Saccharomyces cerevisiae S288C: one gene and its partner. Each later gene encodes a partner of the first gene's protein in a complex. Each region holds a gene or a part of one and is shown in the gene's direction. Other genes may lie near its edges.

Region 1 (7,136 bases):
ATCATATCAAAATCACAGATGGGAATGAAGAGAAACCGCTTCTTCCAACAAGGCCTAACAAAGCAGAAGTTACAGAAAGTCCGTCATCAAGGTCAATAAAACCGGATGCTGTGGTACCTGAGCGCGTTAAGCCTGCTCCACCTGTCTCACGCTCTACAAAACCGGCGAGCTTTTTAAGTTCTTTGGAAGATAACAAATTGACAAAGGCGAAGAGTTATAATTCGGAAATGGAAACTCCCAAAACAACTGTAAAAAGTTCTCATATCGATTACTTGGATTCCATACAACTAAAACCAACCACCTTATCTCCTACAATGAAAAATAAACCTAAACCAACCCCTCCTTCTCCACCTGCGAAAAGAATTCCAAGATCTGAAAGTTTTATCAAGTCTATGCTAAACTCGAATCTCACGACAACTTCCAAGCCTTCTTTGCCTGAAAAACCTCAAAAGCTACGGAATGCAAATTTGGCCGCCCATAAGACCAAACCAAGCATACCGCCAAAGAAAGTGGAGTTGAATATAGTATTACCTGAGCTACGTCCCGTAGAAACTTCTCCAACAAAGCAGAACTTCGAAAACTCAATCGATTTGCCCAAGTTACGATCCAGCAACCGTAACATTAAAAAAGAAGAGGAGGACAGTATTCCAGAAGCAATAAAAGGTATACAAAATCTGAAGAAAACCAAACAGCAGAAGCCTGCAATCCCTCAGAAAAAATCATTTCTAACAAATAATTCGAAAAATACTACACTCAAAAATGGTGATGATATTAACAAGTTAAATGACGAAATTGAAGCTCTATCATTGCGGAATAACCTGAAGAAACGGCCACCAACGGCGCCACAACGTAAAATTTCTTTGCCAGAGGCATTGCGAAAAGTCGAATTGATGAAAAAATCTAAAACCGAGCCTGTTTTAGAGTCCTCAAACGAACTGAGCATAAACGCAAAATTAGACGCAATAATTGCCTCTAGAAACTTAAGAGCATCTAATACTCTACCAGAACTTAGCGGTGTTAACACTAATATTGCAACTTCTGACAAGTATACTACTTCTAGAGATGAAACAGTGAAGGAAACTAAACCATTAGTTCACCCGAATAAAAATAGGACTCGTGGTCCCAGAAGAAAACTTCCAACACGCGTGTAACTACAGAGTAGACCTCCGTATTTTACACATGTATGTACGTACATATGATGTAACAATAATATGATAATTTAATGGGATACATGTATTATCGTCACTTCCCACGTTTGCGCTTTGACATTTGCTCCCCTTATGAACCTGAAGGAATATAAATCATCGATCTTTTTGCTACACTTTTCCTCCCTTATTAGAAAATAGCAGTAAAATTACAGGCTATTCAAACCCTGAAACATCTCAATTATGGCTTGGACTAGTACATTACCAGCGCATCTACTGAACCTGATCAAAAACTCCAAATATGTTCACGTGGCCACCTGTTCTAAAGACTGCATCCCTTCAGTGGCATTGATGAACTATATCTATGTGCCAGGTGAAAAACTGTTCGGTCAAACAGATAATAAGAATGACTACATTATATTTGTTTCTCCTCAGGACACACAAAAGTTTTACAACATCAAGGAGAACCCTAAGGTCGCCCTGTTGTTTCACGATTGGATCATCGCGAATAATTTGTCAGTGGGCAAGGAAAGCATCTCTGGGACTCCGACGCCGACTTCTATTCCTCATGAAGAGCAACGTCAAAGCGAGCTTTTAAATTTGTTACAGGAGTTAAATCAAGCCGAATTGAACCAAATGAGCGCATCTATTGGTGGCGAAACCGAAATTGTCAATCCTGAAAGTGAAGAATCCAAGTACTATAAAGATTTAATACTAAAGGCTAATCCTGATGCGAAAGCTTTTATATTTGAAAAGAACACCGCCGTTGTTAAAGTTAGAATTGATAATGCTAGGGTATCCAATAATGAGAACAGAACAATGTTTCTAAGTAAAGGGAAGAGTTAACTGTCCTCTGCTTTTCTTTATCTATTTTGCATACGATTCTGTATTTAATTATTCTGTTTTTTTTTTTTTTTTATTTTTTATTTTCATGTACACAAGAAATCTACATTAGCACGTTAATCAATTGACTAGTTACCTTCTTGACCAAAATCTCTAGTGAACTGTTCTTGCTTCAGCAAGTCATCCTCATTCACGGTAGGTCTCGTCGATTTGATAGCCTTTAAGAAATCCTTTATGGTGAGATCTGGTTCTTTTAATTCATCAGCTTCAATATCCGTCCAACTCATCTCGATGGCGCCATCATCACCTGGAGAGCATGGTGTTAGTTTTCTTGTTTCGTCGTCCTCCGTAGAGACATCTTTGAAATGTGTCGCGCTTTGAATTTTTCTTATCGGTTGCATTAGCGCATCTTTCACCACTACAGCAATATCACTCCCGGAATAACCTTCAGTCATTGCACCTAAAGTTCTATAATCTTCCTTGGTCAATACGCATGGAGTGTCGCCGACGTTAATCTCGAACATGGTGGTTCTTGCCGCCAAATCTGGTAATGGTATATATATTCTTCTTTCAAATCTTCTCCTGATGGCACTGTCCAGTTGCCATGGGATATTTGTTGCGCCAAGGACCAAAACACCTTGGGAGTCATTCCCAACACCATTCATTTGTACCAATAATTCTGTTTTAATTCTTCTACTTGCTTCGCTCTCTCCTTCTCCTCTGGTACCTGTTAGCGCATCCACTTCATCTATAAAAATAATAGAAGGTTTATTTTCTCTTGCCATCGCAAATAACTGTTTGACAAGTTTTTCAGATTCACCCATCCACTTAGAAACCAAATCACTGGAACTAACACTGAAAAAGGTAGAATTGGCCTCGGTGGCCACTGCTTTTGCCAAATATGATTTACCTGTACCTGGTGGTCCGTACAATAAGATTCCCGAAGTGGGCTTACGGTTACCTTTGAACAAATGTGGGAACTTGACAGGTAAAATAACGGCTTCTTTAAGGGCCTCTTTGGCTCCTTCCAGTCCAGCCACGTCTTCCCACTTAACATTGGGCTTCTCAGACAAAATAGCACTCGATAAGGCACCTCTTAGCTTTTTGTTGTCTTCTCCACCATTATCCTCACCCTCTTCCTGAGAGATTTTCTTATTACCACCGTTGGAACCACTACCAGCGCTAGGAGATTTCTTTGCCGCGTTTGCCTCTTCACTTTCCAAGTGCTTTTTCAACTGCTCTGCACGGTTTAGATACTCTGTAAACTTCGCTCTTATCAAATCCTTCGACTTAGGGTTTTTCTCGTATTTCAAAGCCAACATCAAATAATCTAATCCGTTATAGTATGCTGTATACGCCTCCTCATACTGCGTGGCTGTGTCCAGGTCAATGGCCTTTTGAACCAGTTCTATTCCCTTAGTTAAAAAATCTCCCGTGCTCATTTGTACCCCATCTACTATAGGCACTCTATGCTGCTTTATTTTTGTCTTCCATGTCCTCAACCCACGATTAAATCGTTCGATATCATGAAGTTCTTATTTTTTTTTTTTTTTCACCCAGCGGGGGTACCCGTAAAGCAATACAATAAATATCATCAAGCAAGAATAAATAGATGTACAGAAAGAACAACCATGACGTGTTGTGTTTCTATTCAGCGTGCGGAACCGAATCCTCAGTCGGAGATTCTCTGAGAATGTTCGTTTGAGGAAGCTTAGGATACTTGGCGTAGAAGTTGGGGCCCTTTGGGGGCTGTAGGGAAGAAACTGGTCGTTGGCGCGACTGGAGTGGCGACATGTGAATCGGACTTGAAGTCACTAACGGGTTTACTGCTCTTACTGGCGAAGGTGGTAAATTTTCTGTCGGTTTGAGGTTGTCTCGCTCAATATTTTTCATGTCTCGACGAGACTCCAGGTATCTTTGATCGATGTTTGCGTCGTCCAACACCGACTGCAACAGATGACACTTTTCCTTGACAAATTGTAGTTCCTTTTGTGTAGAGTGCAGCTGCTGCCGCAATTGCGCAAACTTTGCTTGCCATTGTAGAGGCACACAATCCTGAGAATTTTTAGACAATGGGACAACGCTTTCTTCTTCCTCATCTGCGGGAGACCCCCATACAAACGCTTGGATCTTGGCAAGAGTCTTAGCAATATTGAATCCAAACGCGTGTTGTTGAGCCCTCTTTTTGGAGATATTCTTGTAGTTTTTAGAACGTGTCCTTTGTGAAGCGTGTCTAACATGATTTCTTTCGCGAGGCACAACCACCAATTTGCGCTCTTTTCGTATCCCCAATGTCTTTTCCTGAATTCCCATTGTGATCTTCAATGCCAACCCAACCTTCTTTTTACTTTGTTGGGTCTAAATTATGTTACTTTGTCCATTTCATCTCTTTTCAAGATGGAATCTAAAAGAAGAAAAACGACAAAAGGAACAAAAGTGATGTGACGCGTTATTTTTCGCGTGACATAATAGAAAAATATTTCAACTGGGCATCTTTAACACATGTTACAATAAAGTTGAGATGACTTGTTTATGCCTTTAAAGTTTGTAAGTGGAACTAGAAGCGTCTATGTGTGAAATGTTTGGCTCTGGGAATGTTCTGCCTGTTAAAATTCAGCCTCCGCTGCTTAGGCCACTGGCGTATAGAGTTTTATCAAGAAAATATGGTTTATCAATTAAATCTGATGGACTGTCTGCTCTTGCAGAATTCGTTGGCACTAATATAGGTGCTAACTGGAGACAAGGGCCTGCTACAATAAAATTTCTCGAGCAATTTGCTGCAGTATGGAAACAACAAGAAAGAGGCCTTTTCATCGACCAGAGCGGGGTTAAAGAAGTTATACAGGAGATGAAAGAACGTGAGAAAGTCGAATGGAGTCATGAACACCCTATTCAACATGAGGAGAATATCTTGGGACGGACAGATGACGATGAGAACAACAGTGACGATGAAATGCCGATCGCTGCTGATTCATCCTTACAAAATGTTTCATTATCTTCACCCATGCGACAGCCCACCGAAAGAGATGAATATAAACAGCCTTTCAAGCCAGAAAGCTCCAAGGCGTTGGACTGGAGGGACTACTTCAAAGTTATCAATGCTTCTCAGCAACAAAGATTCTCATACAATCCGCACAAAATGCAATTTATTTTCGTCCCCAATAAAAAGCAGAATGGGCTAGGAGGCATTGCGGGTTTTCTACCAGATATAGAGGACAAAGTTCAAATGTTCTTGACAAGATATTACCTCACGAACGACAGAGTCATGAGAAATGAAAACTTCCAAAACAGTGACATGTTTAATCCATTATCATCTATGGTGTCTTTACAAAATGAACTGTCCAATACTAACCGACAGCAGCAATCCAGCAGTATGAGTATCACCCCAATAAAAAACCTACTAGGTAGGGATGCTCAAAACTTTCTACTATTGGGGCTCTTAAATAAGAACTTTAAGGGCAATTGGTCACTGGAAGATCCGTCTGGATCTGTCGAAATTGACATTTCCCAAACTATCCCTACACAAGGCCATTACTACGTGCCAGGTTGCATGGTTCTTGTGGAAGGAATATACTATTCTGTAGGAAATAAATTCCATGTTACCTCCATGACTTTACCCCCTGGTGAGAGAAGAGAAATTACATTAGAAACGATAGGTAATCTCGATCTCTTAGGAATACATGGCATTTCTAATAACAATTTCATTGCTCGTTTGGATAAAGATTTGAAGATTAGATTACACCTTTTGGAGAAAGAATTAACAGATCATAAATTTGTAATTCTCGGCGCAAATTTGTTCCTAGATGATTTGAAAATTATGACTGCACTCAGCAAAATTTTGCAAAAATTAAATGATGACCCACCGACCCTATTAATTTGGCAAGGTTCTTTCACTTCAGTTCCCGTTTTCGCATCAATGAGTAGCCGGAATATAAGTAGTTCCACTCAATTTAAGAATAATTTCGATGCCTTGGCGACGCTTCTGTCAAGATTTGACAATTTGACCGAAAATACCACAATGATATTTATTCCAGGTCCTAACGATTTATGGGGGTCGATGGTGTCATTGGGGGCAAGTGGGACATTACCGCAAGATCCAATTCCTAGTGCGTTTACCAAAAAAATCAACAAGGTCTGTAAAAACGTTGTATGGAGCTCAAATCCAACTAGAATAGCATACTTATCCCAAGAAATAGTCATTTTCAGGGACGATTTATCCGGAAGATTCAAAAGACACCGTTTGGAATTCCCATTCAACGAGAGCGAAGATGTTTATACTGAAAACGATAACATGATGTCTAAAGACACCGATATTGTACCAATCGATGAATTAGTTAAAGAACCAGACCAGTTACCACAAAAGGTTCAAGAAACAAGAAAACTCGTTAAAACAATACTAGACCAGGGTCATTTATCGCCATTTCTTGATTCCTTGCGCCCAATTTCATGGGATTTGGACCACACTTTGACACTTTGCCCAATACCATCGACAATGGTTCTTTGCGACACTACTTCTGCACAATTTGATTTGACATACAACGGTTGTAAAGTAATTAACCCTGGAAGTTTCATTCATAATAGACGTGCTAGGTATATGGAGTACGTTCCATCCTCAAAGAAAACTATACAAGAAGAGATATATATCTAAATAATGCATCAAAATAAGAACACTTAAACAAGCACGGTAGTGTTGGTACTCTGCCATCTATTTGTATGGATACTTTTTGAATTTTGATGTAACGGATTTCGGCATACAATATATGGGATCTATGGGGACTAAATTGTCGTATCCCATTAAACTTAAACCAGCAACACCAAAAACTGTATGGAAGACATCCACTTCATTTTCAGGCCTGTCGCTTATTCCACCCTTCTTCTCATCTTGACATTTGAGTATAAACTCAGTTAGCTTCTCATAATTTATCCAATCTAGTCTACCAATAATAGCTAATGAAGATAAAACCCACCAACTATAGCAAACATCGGGCAGTTTACTTGGCCTACCGTTTAGTCCACCTTCTGGTAATTGTCGTTCGCAAAGCCACCACCCAATTTCTTCTAGTTGGTCGTCACTAAGCATATCCAATTTGTTAGCAATTGCCAAAGCGCCAAGACAGGTAAAAGCTTGAGCTGCATGGGATTCAGCAT
Region 2 (15,685 bases), on another chromosome or scaffold:
CACAAGTTCAGGTAGCGATAAAAATGTTAAAATACATGAAAACGTTGCACCGGCCTTAGTTCTTTCCTCTATGATAATGTCGGCTATAGCATTCCCCCAATTAAGCGAAGTGACCAAACCATTAGTGGAATCTCAAGGTAGAAGACAAAAAGCTTTCGTTTTTAAGTTGGCTAGAAGTGCAATGAAAGATTTTACCAAGAACATGACCTTGAAAAATACCCTACTAAACAAGAAAACTTCCAGATCCAAAAGAGTTAGCTCAAATCGCAGTTCAACTCCGACTTCTCCAATAGATTTAATAGATCCAATAAAAACTAAAGAAGATGCATCCTTCAGGAAATCCAGACATAGTGAGGTAAAATTGGATTTCGACATTGTGGATGATATAGGTAACCAGGTCTTTGAAGAAAGAATCTCATCTTCAATCAAACTCCCAAAACGTAAACCTAAGTATTTGGATAATTCATACGTTCATAGGACATATGATGGCAAAAATATAAACAGGGACGGAAGCATTTCAAATACCGCAAAGGCTCTCGATGGAAATAAAGGTGATTATATTTCTCCAAAGGGACGTAATGATGAAAATAATGAGATTGGTAACAATGAAGATGAAACTGGTGGTGAAACGGAGGAGGACGCGGACGCTTTAAACTCTGATCACTTCACCAGTTCTATGCCAGATCTGCATAATATTCAACCAAGGACTTCTTCTGCTTCATCTGCTTCTTTAGAAGGGACACCTAAGTTAAACAGGACCAATTCCCAACCCCTTTCGCGCCAGGCATTCAAAAACAGTAAAAAAGCGAATTCTTCTTTGAGTCAAGAAATTGACTTGTCGCAATTATCGACCACTTCAAAAATAAAAATGTTAAAAGCAAATTATTTTCGTTGCGAGACACAATTTGCCATTGCGCTAGAAACAATATCTCAAAGGCTAGCTCGAGTACCGACAGAAGCTAGATTGAGTGCCTTACGAGCCGAGTTGTTTCTATTAAACAGGGACCTACCAGCGGAAGTAGATATCCCCACTTTATTGCCTCCAAATAAAAAAGGAAAGTTACATAAATTAGTGACCATTACTGCTAATGAGGCACAAGTTTTGAACTCTGCAGAAAAAGTTCCATATTTACTCCTGATAGAATACTTGAGAGACGAATTTGATTTTGACCCAACAAGTGAAACCAATGAAAGATTATTAAAGAAGATCAGTGGTAATCAGGGAGGCTTGATATTTGATTTAAATTACATGAATAGAAAAGAAAACAACGAAAATAGAAATGAAAGTACTCTTACTAGCAACAACACTCGATCTTCGGTATATGATAGTAACTCGTTCAACAACGGGGCCTCCCGCAATGAAGGTCTATCCAGTACCTCAAGAAGTGATTCAGCGTCCACAGCTCATGTTAGGACTGAAGTCAATAAAGAGGAAGATTTAGGTGATATGTCAATGGTAAAAGTCAGGAACAGAACGGATGACGAAGCGTATAGAAATGCTTTAGTAATACAGAGTGCCGCAAATGTTCCAATTTTACCTGATGATAGTCAAGACAGAAGCCCAGAGTTGAACTTTGGCTCAAACTTGGACGAAGTACTCATCGAGAATGGAATTAATAGCAAAAATATACATAGCCAAACTGACGCTTTAGCAGACCAGATGAGAGTTTCAGCTGTTATGTTAGCACAATTGGATAAGTCGCCACAACAGTTATCAGAAAGTACCAAACAAATCCGCGCTCAAATTATTTCATCAATGAAGGAGGTGCAGGATAAATTTGGTTACCATGATTTGGAAGCCCTTCATGGAATGGCAGGTGAGAGAAAATTGGAAAACGATTTAATGACGGGTGGTATTGACACTTCATATCTAGGTGAAGATTGGGCTACCAAGAAAGAGAGGATACGTAAAACTTCGGAATATGGCCATTTCGAAAACTGGGATTTATGTTCTGTAATCGCCAAGACGGGTGATGATTTGAGACAGGAGGCGTTTGCATACCAGATGATTCAAGCGATGGCCAATATTTGGGTTAAAGAAAAAGTTGACGTTTGGGTTAAAAGAATGAAAATTTTAATTACTAGTGCGAATACGGGACTTGTGGAGACCATCACAAATGCTATGTCTGTGCATAGTATTAAAAAGGCTTTAACCAAAAAAATGATTGAAGATGCAGAACTAGATGACAAGGGTGGTATTGCCTCTTTGAATGATCACTTCCTTAGAGCTTTTGGTAATCCTAATGGATTTAAGTATAGAAGAGCACAAGACAACTTTGCTTCTTCGTTAGCCGCATATTCTGTCATTTGCTATCTCTTGCAGGTTAAAGATAGACACAACGGTAACATTATGATCGATAACGAAGGCCATGTAAGTCACATCGATTTTGGATTTATGCTATCAAATTCACCCGGCTCAGTGGGCTTTGAGGCCGCACCATTCAAATTAACTTACGAATATATTGAACTGCTAGGCGGAGTAGAGGGAGAAGCGTTTAAAAAGTTTGTTGAACTAACTAAAAGTTCGTTCAAGGCTCTGAGAAAGTATGCTGATCAAATCGTATCAATGTGTGAGATTATGCAAAAGGACAATATGCAGCCTTGTTTCGATGCTGGCGAACAAACAAGTGTACAACTACGACAAAGGTTCCAATTGGACTTATCAGAAAAAGAAGTTGATGACTTCGTAGAAAATTTCTTGATAGGTAAATCTTTGGGTAGTATTTACACCAGAATATACGACCAATTTCAACTTATTACACAGGGTATATATAGCTGAGAAGGAAAATAGCTGTGACAGAACTGGAAAAACAATTTGCAAATGTCCGGAGAACAAAAAAATTGGAATTTTAGTAAAAGGAATATACATATATTTATTTATTGCCGAGAATAATAGAGCAGCTGACTCAGAAAAAGCAAGGTAAAAGAATGAGAGTAAAATAAATATGTGGTTAATTAACCATACATATAAATTATTATCTTATTTTCTGCGTAAAGCGTCAAACCGTTTCTTCAACTCATCTAGTTCATCATTTTCTTGCTCCTTCTTAGTCTTTCTTTTTGTAGTTTTCTTTTCTGATTGTTTCTTTTCGATCACTTCCTTTTTGATATCTTTCGGAATCTTGAGCTCGTTCTTGATATTTTCACTATTCTGCCTAGGCTTTTTAACAGTGATAGGGTGTTTAGCATCTGCATTGTCATTATCGTCATTATCTAAGGCTAAAATAGGCTTTTCTTCGTCATTATCCTCGATATCTCCCGAGGGGTCACTAAAGTCTGAAGAAATGTTAGAAGACGACGAAGATAAGGAATTCTCCAGCTTACTATATGGCACATCGTATGTTTTCGCGATTTCCTTCAAATAAAGATCAACTAGTTCTTCTTTTGGAACTGAGGGAGAGCATTTTTTTATAATCTTTTCAGGGACATCGATATGATCTGCTATTACTCCATTAACAAACTCAACGTTTATTTTCCAGGCCATCAAATCTTTCAATTGGCTAAGTTCTTTGACTTCATCAACGAAAAGAATCGCATAGATTAGGGATCTGATAGCTTCGTTAATACCATCATCCATATGCTCTTTGACAAGCTGTTCCTCGGTGGAGATATCGTTTATTACCTGCACTCTAGCCAGTAGTAATTCACAATATAGTTCCAATATCTCTAGTAGCTCAATATGAATATCGTCATGAATTAGCGTCTCCACACGATAATGCGCCTTCTGTTCTTTATTTGTCAGTAACAGTTGTGCAACCTGTCTTCGAGACTGCTTTGCAATCGCCTGTTGCTTTTCTTGAGCATATCTTAACCTTTGAATACACATTTTCAGGCATGTTTTAAGCTTGATCTATAACAATAATTTGGATGATAGTTTTACCCTTCTTCAGTTAGTACATCCTAGATCTTTTGCATACTAAAGCTTTTTAAAAATTACTATAAAATATAAACATACAGTGAACGGAATCATTGACGGAGCCATTTTTAGTTGTCGTATTCTCTTATCTATCTTCTATGTTGACTAGTTCTGATTGATTAGCTGGAACTAATAGTATATATAATTTTCACACCCTTTGGAATTCAGAAGGCGTTTTTTTTTTCATGAAACAAAACAATAGAGTGCGGATAGCCGATTCAGTTGATTCTAAAAGTATATAAAATGCGATAAGCGCATAAGCAGCCATTATAAACGTACATCTGAGTCTAGATATATACGTTTGTGTAGCGGGAAACGTTAAAAAAAAAAATCTTAATTATAGTTTATCAAATGACCATATCAACAGGATATTTTAATTCGTCATGTTGGCCCTTGGTGTCATATTCACTTAATCCGACAATGCCTCCAAACTTTAAAAATCTATCAAAACGTTTCAATCGTAAATCGTCAACTTTCTTAACCATATCTGGCCAATAGACTTCATGTTTATACTTGAAGTCTAACAGACCATTGTATAGAGCATCTAGTTGAGATGGCTCTATGTGGTTTTCAAATGGTTCGTCAAAGATAGCCTTCGCCTTAGTGGCAGGGTCAAGGAACGGATACATCATCTTCAAAAAAGCCCACGCAAACCATGGGATATTGATCAGGACACACTTAGCTAACCTTTCAGGGTAATGATCTTGCATGACGTTCAAACACATCCTAGCAATAGAGATGGGTGGAGCTTTATCAGTGATAATACCAGGTTCTTTATAACTTTTGAAATCTACCAAGACTGTGATCTTTTCTACACCTTGGGGAGCTACAGTTGTCGCAGTTTCCATCATGTAGACTAATTCTTGGACTTGTCTAAAGGAAGATTCTGTGTTTTGACGACCATTTTTCATGTAGTATAGAGGTCTTTTAGCGTTGTCAAAGCCCAAAATAACCTGTTTACCAGTTTCGTTCTCAACGGCAACTTTGTCAGCTGTTAAAGGGTCTTTGTCCTCCTTACCATGTGTAAGTCCAATTTCTCTCCTCCATACCAAGGTTTTGGTGAGACCTTTTATGGCGTTCGCGGTGTTCCATTTATTGGCTCTTAGGTATCTTAGAAAACACTCCCTAGAAAGCCAAAACTTCTCCCAATCACTCAAGGGTCTGTCATTGGCATGTGTCCCATTGTCAAGGTCATTGAGATTTTCTGGTAATTTCAGATCATCATCTTGAAAATGTCGTAAGACAGCTCTATATTTTTCGTTTTGATCTTCGGAGATGGGTTCCAGTAGAGGTGCGTTACCATACTTGGCAGGAGGGTCCAAGAATATCTTATCACATGGAATAAGTTTCTCTTTAGGCACAGCAGGCGTATGGTCCCGTTTTCTTGAAAAAAGACCCATTTTTGTTCTTCTTCTTGTGCTTTCTTTGTGTGATTTTTCAGGGTCTTTTTTTTTAAACAATGATGTAAATTAAATCTATCTAAAAAGCGTGATTTTTCCCACGAATTTTAATCCCTCTATTGTTCTCTTTCCACTCCATATTGAGTGAAAGGAAAAATAAGAAAAGTAAATAGAAAATTTATGACGTAGGAATAAAAGTATATAAGTATTTAACAAATTGACCGTAGATAATAATAATGCGCATGAAATTAAATCCTCTCTTTGATCTCTTCAATCAAGATCAACCCATTAACCACATTAGAACATTTTGCCAAATGAAGCCATAGACGAATAGGAAGTAATTGCACTTCTTGACGGTCGATTTGCTGATGGAAACGTGTATATCATCGTCTTCAGCACCGGAGCGGCTTAGTAAATTGAACTTGACGGATCTTAGTAGGAATACGCCAAAGGCAATAAATAAGTAAAATTTTATCAAAATATTCAGGTTAAATGGCATGGTCACGTTGGTCAAAAGCTGGGCGAGAATCAATGGAACAAATTTGTAGCCGACATAGCACAACAGTTCGACCAAACTGAAGCTTGGAATCTTAGAATCGATCAAAAGATACAAGCCAAGCTTCAAAATCAACAAATCTAAACACACAAACGCCAGAGTAGAAGACAGTTTGTAGTACAAGTCTTCGGGGTTGAATGAACCCTTCAGACCTTGCTGCGTATTCCAGATGAGAATATAGGTAACTAGTCCCATAATAGGCATGTACATGTCTGGGGAGTTCACGTCATCCCTTGGTGGCAAAAAGTTGCCAGAGTCCATAATTCGTTGCCAGTTCTTGGTTCCGTTAAGAAAAGGAACTAGGATGAGTTTCAATTTATTGATGACATAACGGGTGCTGACTTGAAAATACGTTGAAATTTGTTGAGAGCCGGCAGCGTTTGCAGTGGCTTTATTGACCGTTTCTTGAAACTGGTTAAAGTTATCCTGACCAATAAAATTAGAAAATGCGCTCTGCCCTAGTTGGAATGCCATCGAACCACGAGGATCTTGGAATGGAAAACCACCGCCACTGCCATTTACGTTTGCATTCATATTCGCATTACCTTGGCCATTCACGGGCGTGTTCCTCGGAATTTGCATTGGTCGTTGCTGTTGTGGAGTGTGGGAAAAGCGATCGTTAACGCCATTCTGCTCACTTGTTGCATATGCGTACGGATTATAAGACATCTTGGTATGGGCCTTTGGTTTTCGTTTTCTGCTATTGATACTCAGTAGCGAGGTCTTACAATCGAAAAGTCAAAAAGATGAGTTGTAGTATAAAACAACAGCTCTGGTGTGCAATATGGATCTTGATACAGAGTCTCGGATATGCTGTTTTAGCACTGAGAAAAAGTAATAGTAACACTGTCAGTGTTCGTCAAAGGCCCAAGTTTATTGTCATTTGAATTGTCAGAATGGTTTATTTTCAGGTAGGGTAACCAGAACGCGTAAGTTTCTTGCATCTTTTACCATTTTAACTGGAAGAGGACCTATCAAAAAGAGCATATGATGATGAAAGAGCACATTCTATCAAGATAACACTCTCAGGGGACAAGTATATGATGTTTGGCAAGAAAAAAAACAACGGAGGATCTTCCACTGCAAGATATTCAGCTGGCAACAAGTACAACACACTCTCAAATAATTATGCGCTTAGCGCGCAACAGCTCTTAAATGCTAGTAAGATCGATGACATCGATTCGATGATGGGATTTGAAAGATACGTACCGCCGCAATACAATGGCAGGTTTGATGCGAAGGATATAGATCAGATTCCAGGCCGCGTAGGGTGGCTGACGAACATGCACGCAACGCTGGTCTCTCAGGAAACCTTATCCAGTGGTAGTAATGGCGGCGGCAATTCGAATGACGGAGAACGTGTAACGACCAACCAAGGTATTTCCGGAGTTGACTTCTACTTTTTAGATGAAGAGGGTGGGAGCTTCAAGTCGACAGTTGTCTATGACCCATACTTCTTTATTGCGTGTAACGATGAATCAAGAGTAAATGATGTGGAGGAACTAGTGAAAAAATATCTGGAATCTTGTCTCAAAAGCTTACAAATCATTAGAAAGGAAGATCTTACCATGGACAATCACCTTTTAGGGCTGCAGAAGACACTTATTAAGTTATCATTTGTAAATTCCAATCAGTTATTCGAGGCCAGGAAACTCCTGAGGCCAATCTTGCAGGATAATGCCAATAATAATGTGCAAAGAAATATATATAACGTTGCTGCAAATGGCTCGGAAAAAGTTGACGCCAAACATCTGATCGAAGATATCAGGGAATATGATGTGCCGTATCATGTCCGAGTATCTATAGACAAGGACATTAGAGTCGGTAAATGGTATAAGGTAACTCAACAGGGATTCATTGAAGATACTAGGAAAATTGCATTTGCCGACCCTGTGGTAATGGCATTTGATATAGAAACCACGAAGCCGCCTTTAAAATTCCCGGATTCCGCCGTAGATCAAATAATGATGATTTCGTATATGATCGATGGGGAAGGTTTTTTGATAACAAATAGGGAGATAATCTCTGAGGATATTGAAGACTTTGAGTATACACCGAAACCGGAGTATCCTGGTTTTTTCACCATATTTAACGAAAACGATGAAGTGGCGCTTCTACAAAGGTTTTTTGAACATATAAGAGATGTACGACCCACTGTTATATCCACCTTCAATGGTGACTTTTTCGATTGGCCTTTTATACATAACAGAAGTAAGATTCACGGCTTGGACATGTTCGATGAAATTGGTTTCGCTCCAGATGCTGAAGGTGAGTACAAGTCCTCATACTGCTCTCACATGGATTGTTTCCGTTGGGTGAAGCGTGATTCTTATTTACCACAAGGTTCCCAGGGTTTAAAAGCTGTTACTCAATCTAAGCTAGGTTATAACCCAATTGAACTGGATCCCGAATTAATGACGCCGTATGCATTTGAAAAGCCACAGCACCTTTCCGAATATTCTGTTTCCGATGCAGTCGCTACGTATTACCTTTACATGAAATATGTTCATCCTTTTATCTTTTCCCTTTGTACTATTATTCCTTTGAACCCGGATGAAACATTGAGAAAGGGTACCGGTACTTTGTGTGAAATGTTGTTGATGGTTCAAGCTTATCAACATAATATTCTTCTACCAAATAAGCATACAGATCCCATTGAGAGGTTCTATGATGGACATCTTCTAGAATCCGAGACTTACGTGGGTGGACATGTGGAGTCATTAGAAGCTGGTGTTTTTAGGAGTGATTTGAAGAATGAATTCAAGATAGATCCTTCTGCCATTGATGAATTATTACAAGAATTACCAGAAGCTTTGAAATTTAGTGTGGAAGTTGAAAATAAGTCCAGTGTAGATAAAGTAACGAATTTTGAGGAAATAAAAAACCAGATAACGCAGAAATTATTAGAGTTGAAGGAAAACAATATAAGAAACGAACTACCTTTGATCTATCATGTAGATGTCGCCTCTATGTACCCAAACATCATGACTACAAATAGACTACAACCAGATAGTATCAAAGCAGAGCGCGATTGTGCTAGTTGCGATTTTAATAGACCCGGAAAAACCTGTGCAAGAAAGTTAAAATGGGCTTGGAGAGGAGAATTCTTTCCCAGTAAGATGGATGAGTATAACATGATCAAGCGTGCATTACAAAATGAGACTTTTCCCAACAAAAACAAGTTTTCTAAAAAGAAAGTTTTGACATTTGATGAACTAAGTTACGCAGACCAAGTTATCCACATAAAAAAACGTTTAACTGAATATTCAAGGAAAGTTTATCATAGGGTTAAAGTATCAGAAATTGTCGAACGAGAAGCCATTGTCTGCCAAAGAGAAAATCCATTCTACGTCGATACCGTGAAATCCTTTCGTGATAGGCGTTACGAATTCAAAGGTTTAGCCAAGACTTGGAAGGGAAATCTGTCCAAAATTGACCCATCTGATAAGCATGCGAGAGACGAGGCCAAAAAGATGATTGTGCTTTATGACTCATTACAATTAGCTCACAAAGTTATTTTGAATTCGTTTTATGGGTATGTTATGAGGAAAGGCTCTCGTTGGTATTCCATGGAAATGGCGGGGATTACGTGTTTAACAGGTGCCACGATCATTCAAATGGCGAGAGCTTTAGTAGAAAGGGTAGGAAGACCATTAGAATTAGATACTGATGGTATTTGGTGTATCTTACCAAAATCTTTCCCTGAAACTTACTTTTTTACATTAGAAAATGGTAAAAAGCTTTATCTCTCCTACCCATGTTCCATGCTGAATTACAGAGTTCACCAAAAGTTTACGAATCACCAATACCAAGAATTAAAAGACCCATTGAACTATATATATGAGACGCACAGTGAAAACACGATTTTTTTCGAAGTTGACGGACCATATAAGGCCATGATTTTGCCTAGTTCCAAGGAAGAAGGAAAAGGTATAAAGAAAAGATATGCTGTCTTCAATGAAGACGGCTCACTTGCTGAACTGAAAGGTTTTGAATTGAAGAGGCGTGGTGAATTACAACTAATAAAAAATTTTCAAAGTGATATTTTCAAGGTCTTTTTGGAAGGTGATACATTAGAAGGATGTTACAGTGCTGTAGCAAGCGTATGTAACCGTTGGTTAGATGTTCTTGATTCACATGGTCTTATGTTAGAAGATGAAGACTTGGTCAGTTTGATTTGTGAAAATAGAAGTATGTCAAAAACTTTAAAGGAATATGAAGGGCAAAAATCTACTTCTATTACGACGGCAAGGAGATTGGGGGATTTTTTGGGTGAAGATATGGTAAAAGATAAAGGTCTACAATGTAAATATATTATTAGTTCAAAACCTTTCAATGCACCTGTTACTGAACGAGCCATTCCAGTCGCAATATTTTCAGCGGACATTCCCATCAAAAGGTCTTTTCTGAGGCGATGGACATTAGATCCATCTTTGGAAGATCTGGATATCAGAACCATAATCGATTGGGGTTATTATAGAGAAAGACTTGGATCTGCTATACAAAAGATAATTACTATTCCAGCAGCATTACAAGGGGTTTCCAATCCTGTTCCAAGGGTTGAACATCCAGATTGGCTAAAAAGAAAAATCGCTACAAAGGAGGATAAGTTTAAGCAGACTTCACTAACCAAATTTTTTTCGAAGACAAAGAATGTACCAACAATGGGCAAGATAAAAGATATCGAGGATTTGTTTGAACCAACTGTAGAAGAAGATAACGCCAAAATTAAAATTGCAAGAACTACTAAAAAGAAAGCCGTATCCAAGAGGAAAAGAAATCAGCTTACAAATGAAGAAGATCCACTAGTATTGCCCTCGGAGATTCCTTCCATGGACGAGGACTATGTTGGGTGGCTAAATTATCAAAAAATTAAATGGAAAATCCAAGCAAGAGATAGAAAGCGTCGAGACCAATTATTTGGTAATACAAACAGCTCCCGTGAAAGAAGTGCACTAGGAAGTATGATTAGGAAGCAAGCTGAATCATATGCGAACTCCACTTGGGAGGTCTTACAATACAAGGATTCCGGTGAGCCAGGGGTTTTGGAAGTATTTGTAACAATTAATGGCAAAGTCCAGAACATCACCTTCCATATACCAAAAACTATTTATATGAAATTCAAATCTCAAACAATGCCGCTACAAAAGATTAAGAATTGCCTTATTGAAAAATCTTCTGCATCGTTACCAAATAATCCCAAAACGTCTAATCCAGCAGGCGGTCAGCTATTCAAAATTACTCTACCGGAATCTGTCTTTCTGGAAGAAAAGGAAAACTGCACTAGTATCTTCAACGATGAAAATGTACTTGGTGTATTTGAGGGCACTATCACTCCTCATCAAAGAGCGATCATGGATTTGGGAGCTTCGGTAACGTTCCGCTCAAAAGCAATGGGTGCGTTAGGCAAGGGAATACAGCAGGGTTTTGAAATGAAGGATCTTTCAATGGCGGAAAATGAAAGGTATCTGAGTGGATTTTCAATGGACATTGGCTATTTACTACATTTCCCAACATCAATTGGGTATGAATTTTTTTCATTATTCAAGTCATGGGGAGATACTATTACTATATTAGTTTTGAAACCATCCAACCAGGCTCAGGAAATAAATGCCTCATCATTAGGACAAATATACAAACAAATGTTTGAAAAAAAGAAAGGTAAAATAGAAACATATTCTTACTTGGTTGATATTAAAGAAGATATCAATTTTGAGTTTGTATATTTTACAGATATCTCAAAATTGTACAGAAGACTATCACAGGAAACTACTAAATTAAAAGAAGAAAGAGGTCTGCAGTTTTTACTCTTGTTACAATCTCCGTTTATCACTAAGCTCTTAGGCACAATCCGGCTTCTAAACCAGATGCCCATTGTTAAGCTTTCCTTGAATGAAGTTCTTCTACCCCAATTGAACTGGCAACCGACATTATTGAAGAAACTTGTTAACCACGTTTTATCCAGTGGTTCGTGGATTTCTCACTTGATCAAGTTATCCCAGTATAGTAACATTCCAATCTGTAATTTGAGGCTGGATAGTATGGATTATATTATTGATGTTCTTTATGCAAGAAAACTAAAAAAAGAGAACATCGTGCTTTGGTGGAATGAGAAAGCTCCACTTCCAGATCATGGAGGCATTCAAAATGATTTTGATTTAAATACATCATGGATAATGAATGATTCAGAATTTCCCAAAATTAATAACTCAGGTGTGTATGACAATGTAGTTCTCGATGTTGGTGTTGATAATTTAACAGTGAACACAATTTTGACATCAGCATTAATCAATGATGCTGAAGGCAGTGATCTAGTTAACAATAATATGGGTATAGATGACAAAGATGCCGTTATTAACTCGCCATCTGAATTCGTGCACGACGCCTTTTCTAATGACGCTTTGAATGTTTTAAGAGGTATGTTAAAGGAGTGGTGGGATGAGGCCCTAAAAGAAAATTCAACCGCAGATTTGTTGGTAAATTCCCTGGCAAGTTGGGTTCAAAACCCGAATGCGAAACTATTCGACGGATTACTAAGATATCACGTTCATAACTTAACAAAAAAAGCCTTACTTCAATTAGTAAATGAATTTAGTGCACTTGGCTCAACTATTGTATATGCAGACAGGAATCAAATTCTAATAAAGACAAACAAGTACTCACCTGAAAACTGTTACGCCTACAGCCAATATATGATGAAGGCAGTTAGAACAAATCCAATGTTTAGTTATCTGGACTTAAATATCAAACGTTATTGGGATCTGCTAATATGGATGGATAAGTTTAATTTTAGTGGATTAGCATGTATTGAAATAGAGGAAAAGGAAAATCAGGATTATACCGCTGTTTCGCAATGGCAACTAAAGAAGTTTCTGTCACCAATATATCAGCCCGAATTTGAGGATTGGATGATGATCATATTGGATAGTATGCTAAAGACAAAGCAGAGCTATCTAAAATTGAATTCAGGGACGCAAAGACCTACCCAAATAGTTAATGTAAAAAAACAAGATAAGGAAGATAGTGTTGAAAACTCGTTGAACGGATTTTCTCACCTTTTTTCCAAACCACTAATGAAAAGAGTCAAAAAGCTTTTTAAAAACCAGCAAGAGTTCATTTTAGATCCTCAGTATGAGGCAGACTATGTTATTCCTGTTCTTCCTGGTTCCCATCTGAATGTGAAAAATCCCCTTCTAGAACTTGTCAAATCACTCTGCCATGTCATGTTACTTTCAAAGAGTACAATTTTAGAAATCAGGACCCTGAGAAAAGAACTGCTGAAGATATTTGAATTGCGTGAGTTTGCTAAAGTAGCGGAATTCAAAGATCCAAGTTTGAGTCTCGTGGTGCCGGATTTTTTATGTGAATACTGTTTTTTCATTTCTGATATTGACTTTTGTAAGGCAGCTCCTGAATCTATTTTTTCATGCGTCAGATGTCACAAAGCCTTTAATCAAGTATTGTTGCAAGAACACCTGATTCAAAAACTACGTTCTGATATCGAATCCTATTTAATTCAAGATTTGAGATGCTCCAGATGTCATAAAGTGAAACGTGACTATATGAGTGCCCACTGTCCATGTGCCGGCGCGTGGGAAGGAACTCTCCCCAGAGAAAGCATTGTTCAAAAGTTAAATGTGTTTAAGCAAGTAGCCAAGTATTACGGTTTTGATATATTATTGAGTTGTATTGCTGATTTGACCATATGAGTAAGCAGTATATAACGCGAGGTTCAATGGCCTCTTTACCATGAAAAAAAAAAAAAAAAAAAAAAAAAGGTAAGGAAAAAGAGTATTTTCAATTCGTTTCTGAACATATAAATATAAATAACCGAAAAATTAGCCCTTGAACATAATTAACACTCTTCTTTGATATTTAAATCACAAGTACTTTTCTTTTATTTTCTTCTTAATACTTTTGGAAATAAAATGAATGTGACCACTCCGGAAGTTGCTTTTAGGGAATATCAAACCAACTGTCTCGCATCGTATATTTCTGCTGATCCAGACATAACTCCTTCAAATTTAATCTTGCAAGGTTATAGTGGAACAGGAAAAACCTACACTTTGAAGAAGTATTTTAATGCGAATCCAAATTTGCATGCAGTATGGCTGGAACCTGTTGAGTTGGTTTCTTGGAAGCCCTTACTGCAGGCGATAGCACGTACTGTACAATATAAATTGAAAACCCTATATCCAAACATTCCCACCACAGATTACGATCCTTTACAGGTTGAAGAGCCATTTCTTTTGGTAAAGACGTTGCACAATATTTTTGTCCAATATGAATCTTTGCAAGAAAAGACTTGCTTGTTCTTGATATTGGATGGTTTCGATAGTTTACAAGATTTAGACGCCGCACTGTTTAACAAATATATCAAACTAAATGAATTACTTCCAAAAGATTCTAAAATTAATATAAAATTCATTTACACGATGTTAGAGACATCATTTTTGCAAAGATATTCTACACATTGCATTCCAACTGTTATGTTTCCGAGGTATAATGTGGACGAAGTTTCTACTATATTAGTGATGTCTAGATGTGGCGAACTCATGGAAGATTCTTGTCTACGTAAGCGTATCATTGAAGAGCAGATAACGGACTGTACAGACGATCAATTTCAAAATGTAGCTGCGAACTTCATTCACTTAATTGTGCAGGCTTTTCATTCTTATACTGGAAACGACATATTCGCATTGAATGACTTGATAGACTTCAAATGGCCCAAGTATGTATCTCGCATTACTAAGGAAAACATATTTGAACCACTGGCTCTTTACAAAAGTGCCATCAAACTATTTTTAAGCACAGATGATAATTTAAGTGAAAATGGACAAGGTGAAAGCGCGATAACCACAAATCGTGATGACCTTGAGAACAGTCAAACTTACGACTTATCAATAATTTCGAAGTATCTGCTCATAGCCTCATATATTTGTTCATATCTGGAACCTAGATACGATGCGAGTATTTTCTCTAGGAAAACACGTATCATACAAGGTAGAGCTGCTTATGGACGAAGAAAGAAGAAAGAAGTTAACCCTAGATATTTACAGCCTTCTTTATTTGCTATTGAAAGACTTTTGGCTATTTTCCAAGCTATATTCCCTATTCAAGGTAAGGCGGAGAGTGGTTCCCTATCTGCACTTCGTGAGGAATCCTTAATGAAAGCGAATATCGAGGTTTTTCAAAATTTATCCGAATTGCATACATTGAAATTAATAGCTACAACCATGAACAAGAATATCGACTATTTGAGTCCTAAAGTCAGGTGGAAAGTAAACGTTCCCTGGGAAATTATTAAAGAAATATCAGAATCTGTTCATTTCAATATCAGCGATTACTTCAGCGATATTCACGAATGATTATCTCCCTGGAAGGTATCCAGAGGGCAGGATACGTTCGAAACAACAACTACGTTATATAAATATTTATACATAGTGGGATAGAATGAACAATTATCAAGTAAACCTTGTATTTTTTGTTCCCACGCTCTACGCTCTGTTTCTTGGATATGGTAATCAAAGATTAATACGTATAACCGTTATTAATTCAGTCCACTAGAAACTATTAAAAGCGCCCTACTGTATGGAAAAACAATGAATGAGGAGACTGAACGGCGCAAAATTGTTAGTTTAGTTGCTCTTTTTGGCGGCCGGCGATAATGTTCTTCACTTGGTATTCTTACCAGGATTGAGCCTGATTTTGTTTTGTCTTATTCTTTGCGATGTCTTCATTTTCTACAAAACCTCTAATTTCTCCGGCAATGGCCCTTGAAACGTCTTCAAAGACTTCAAATGTCACGGTGGG

Evidence for each region.
Region 2: the proteins of DPB2 (region 1) and POL2 are in contact, whole or in part, in a cryo-EM structure (PDB 6WJV), measured with the Saccharomyces cerevisiae proteins. Residues at the interface, in NP_015501.2 of Saccharomyces cerevisiae: Phe207 (codon at 5,185), Leu208 (codon at 5,188), Pro209 (codon at 5,191), Ile211 (codon at 5,197), Phe218 (codon at 5,218), Leu219 (codon at 5,221), Tyr222 (codon at 5,230), Leu287 (codon at 5,425), Asn289 (codon at 5,431), Asn291 (codon at 5,437), Phe292 (codon at 5,440), Glu299 (codon at 5,461), Asp300 (codon at 5,464), Pro301 (codon at 5,467), Asp409 (codon at 5,791), Asp410 (codon at 5,794), Leu411 (codon at 5,797), Lys412 (codon at 5,800), Ile413 (codon at 5,803), Ser440 (codon at 5,884), Val441 (codon at 5,887), Pro442 (codon at 5,890), Val443 (codon at 5,893), Phe444 (codon at 5,896), Ala445 (codon at 5,899), Ser446 (codon at 5,902), Met447 (codon at 5,905), Ser448 (codon at 5,908), Ser449 (codon at 5,911), Arg450 (codon at 5,914); in NP_014137.1 of Saccharomyces cerevisiae: Asp1115 (codon at 10,255), Ile1116 (codon at 10,258), Pro1117 (codon at 10,261), Glu1133 (codon at 10,309), Tyr1327 (codon at 10,891), Asp1329 (codon at 10,897), Ser1330 (codon at 10,900), Glu1332 (codon at 10,906), Pro1333 (codon at 10,909), Gln1369 (codon at 11,017), Glu1410 (codon at 11,140), Lys1411 (codon at 11,143), Asn1413 (codon at 11,149), Cys1414 (codon at 11,152), Ser1416 (codon at 11,158), Phe1418 (codon at 11,164), Asn1419 (codon at 11,167), Gly1425 (codon at 11,185), Val1426 (codon at 11,188), Phe1427 (codon at 11,191), Glu1428 (codon at 11,194), Pro1595 (codon at 11,695), Phe1596 (codon at 11,698), Thr1598 (codon at 11,704), Lys1599 (codon at 11,707), Gly1602 (codon at 11,716), Thr1603 (codon at 11,719), Leu1606 (codon at 11,728), Lys1614 (codon at 11,752), Leu1617 (codon at 11,761).

Annotation. Positions count from the first base shown.
Region 1 is NC_001148.4:884,408-891,543, forward strand, and holds DPB2 (DNA polymerase epsilon noncatalytic subunit), read left to right. Parts: upstream 1-4,566; coding exon 4,567-6,636; downstream 6,637-7,136. Other genes in the region: BSP1 (Bsp1p), read left to right, coding at 1-1,151; YPR172W (pyridoxal 5'-phosphate synthase), read left to right, coding at 1,389-1,991; AAA family ATPase VPS4, read right to left, coding at 2,117-3,430; CSA1 (Csa1p), read right to left, coding at 3,636-4,301; Rab geranylgeranyltransferase BET2, read right to left, coding at 6,694-7,136. UniProt on the Saccharomyces cerevisiae protein: As accessory component of the DNA polymerase epsilon complex participates in chromosomal DNA replication.
Region 2 is NC_001146.8:141,300-156,984, forward strand, and holds POL2 (DNA polymerase epsilon catalytic subunit), read left to right. Parts: upstream 1-6,912; coding exon 6,913-13,581; downstream 13,582-15,685. Other genes in the region: PIK1 (1-phosphatidylinositol 4-kinase), read left to right, coding at 1-2,779; IST1 (Ist1p), read right to left, coding at 2,981-3,850, 3,956-3,982; PDR17 (phosphatidylinositol transporter), read right to left, coding at 4,264-5,316; protein transporter YIF1, read right to left, coding at 5,597-6,541; ORC5 (origin recognition complex subunit 5), read left to right, coding at 13,801-15,240; ribosome biosynthesis protein LTO1, read right to left, coding at 15,560-15,685. UniProt on the Saccharomyces cerevisiae protein: Catalytic component of the DNA polymerase epsilon complex which participates in chromosomal DNA replication.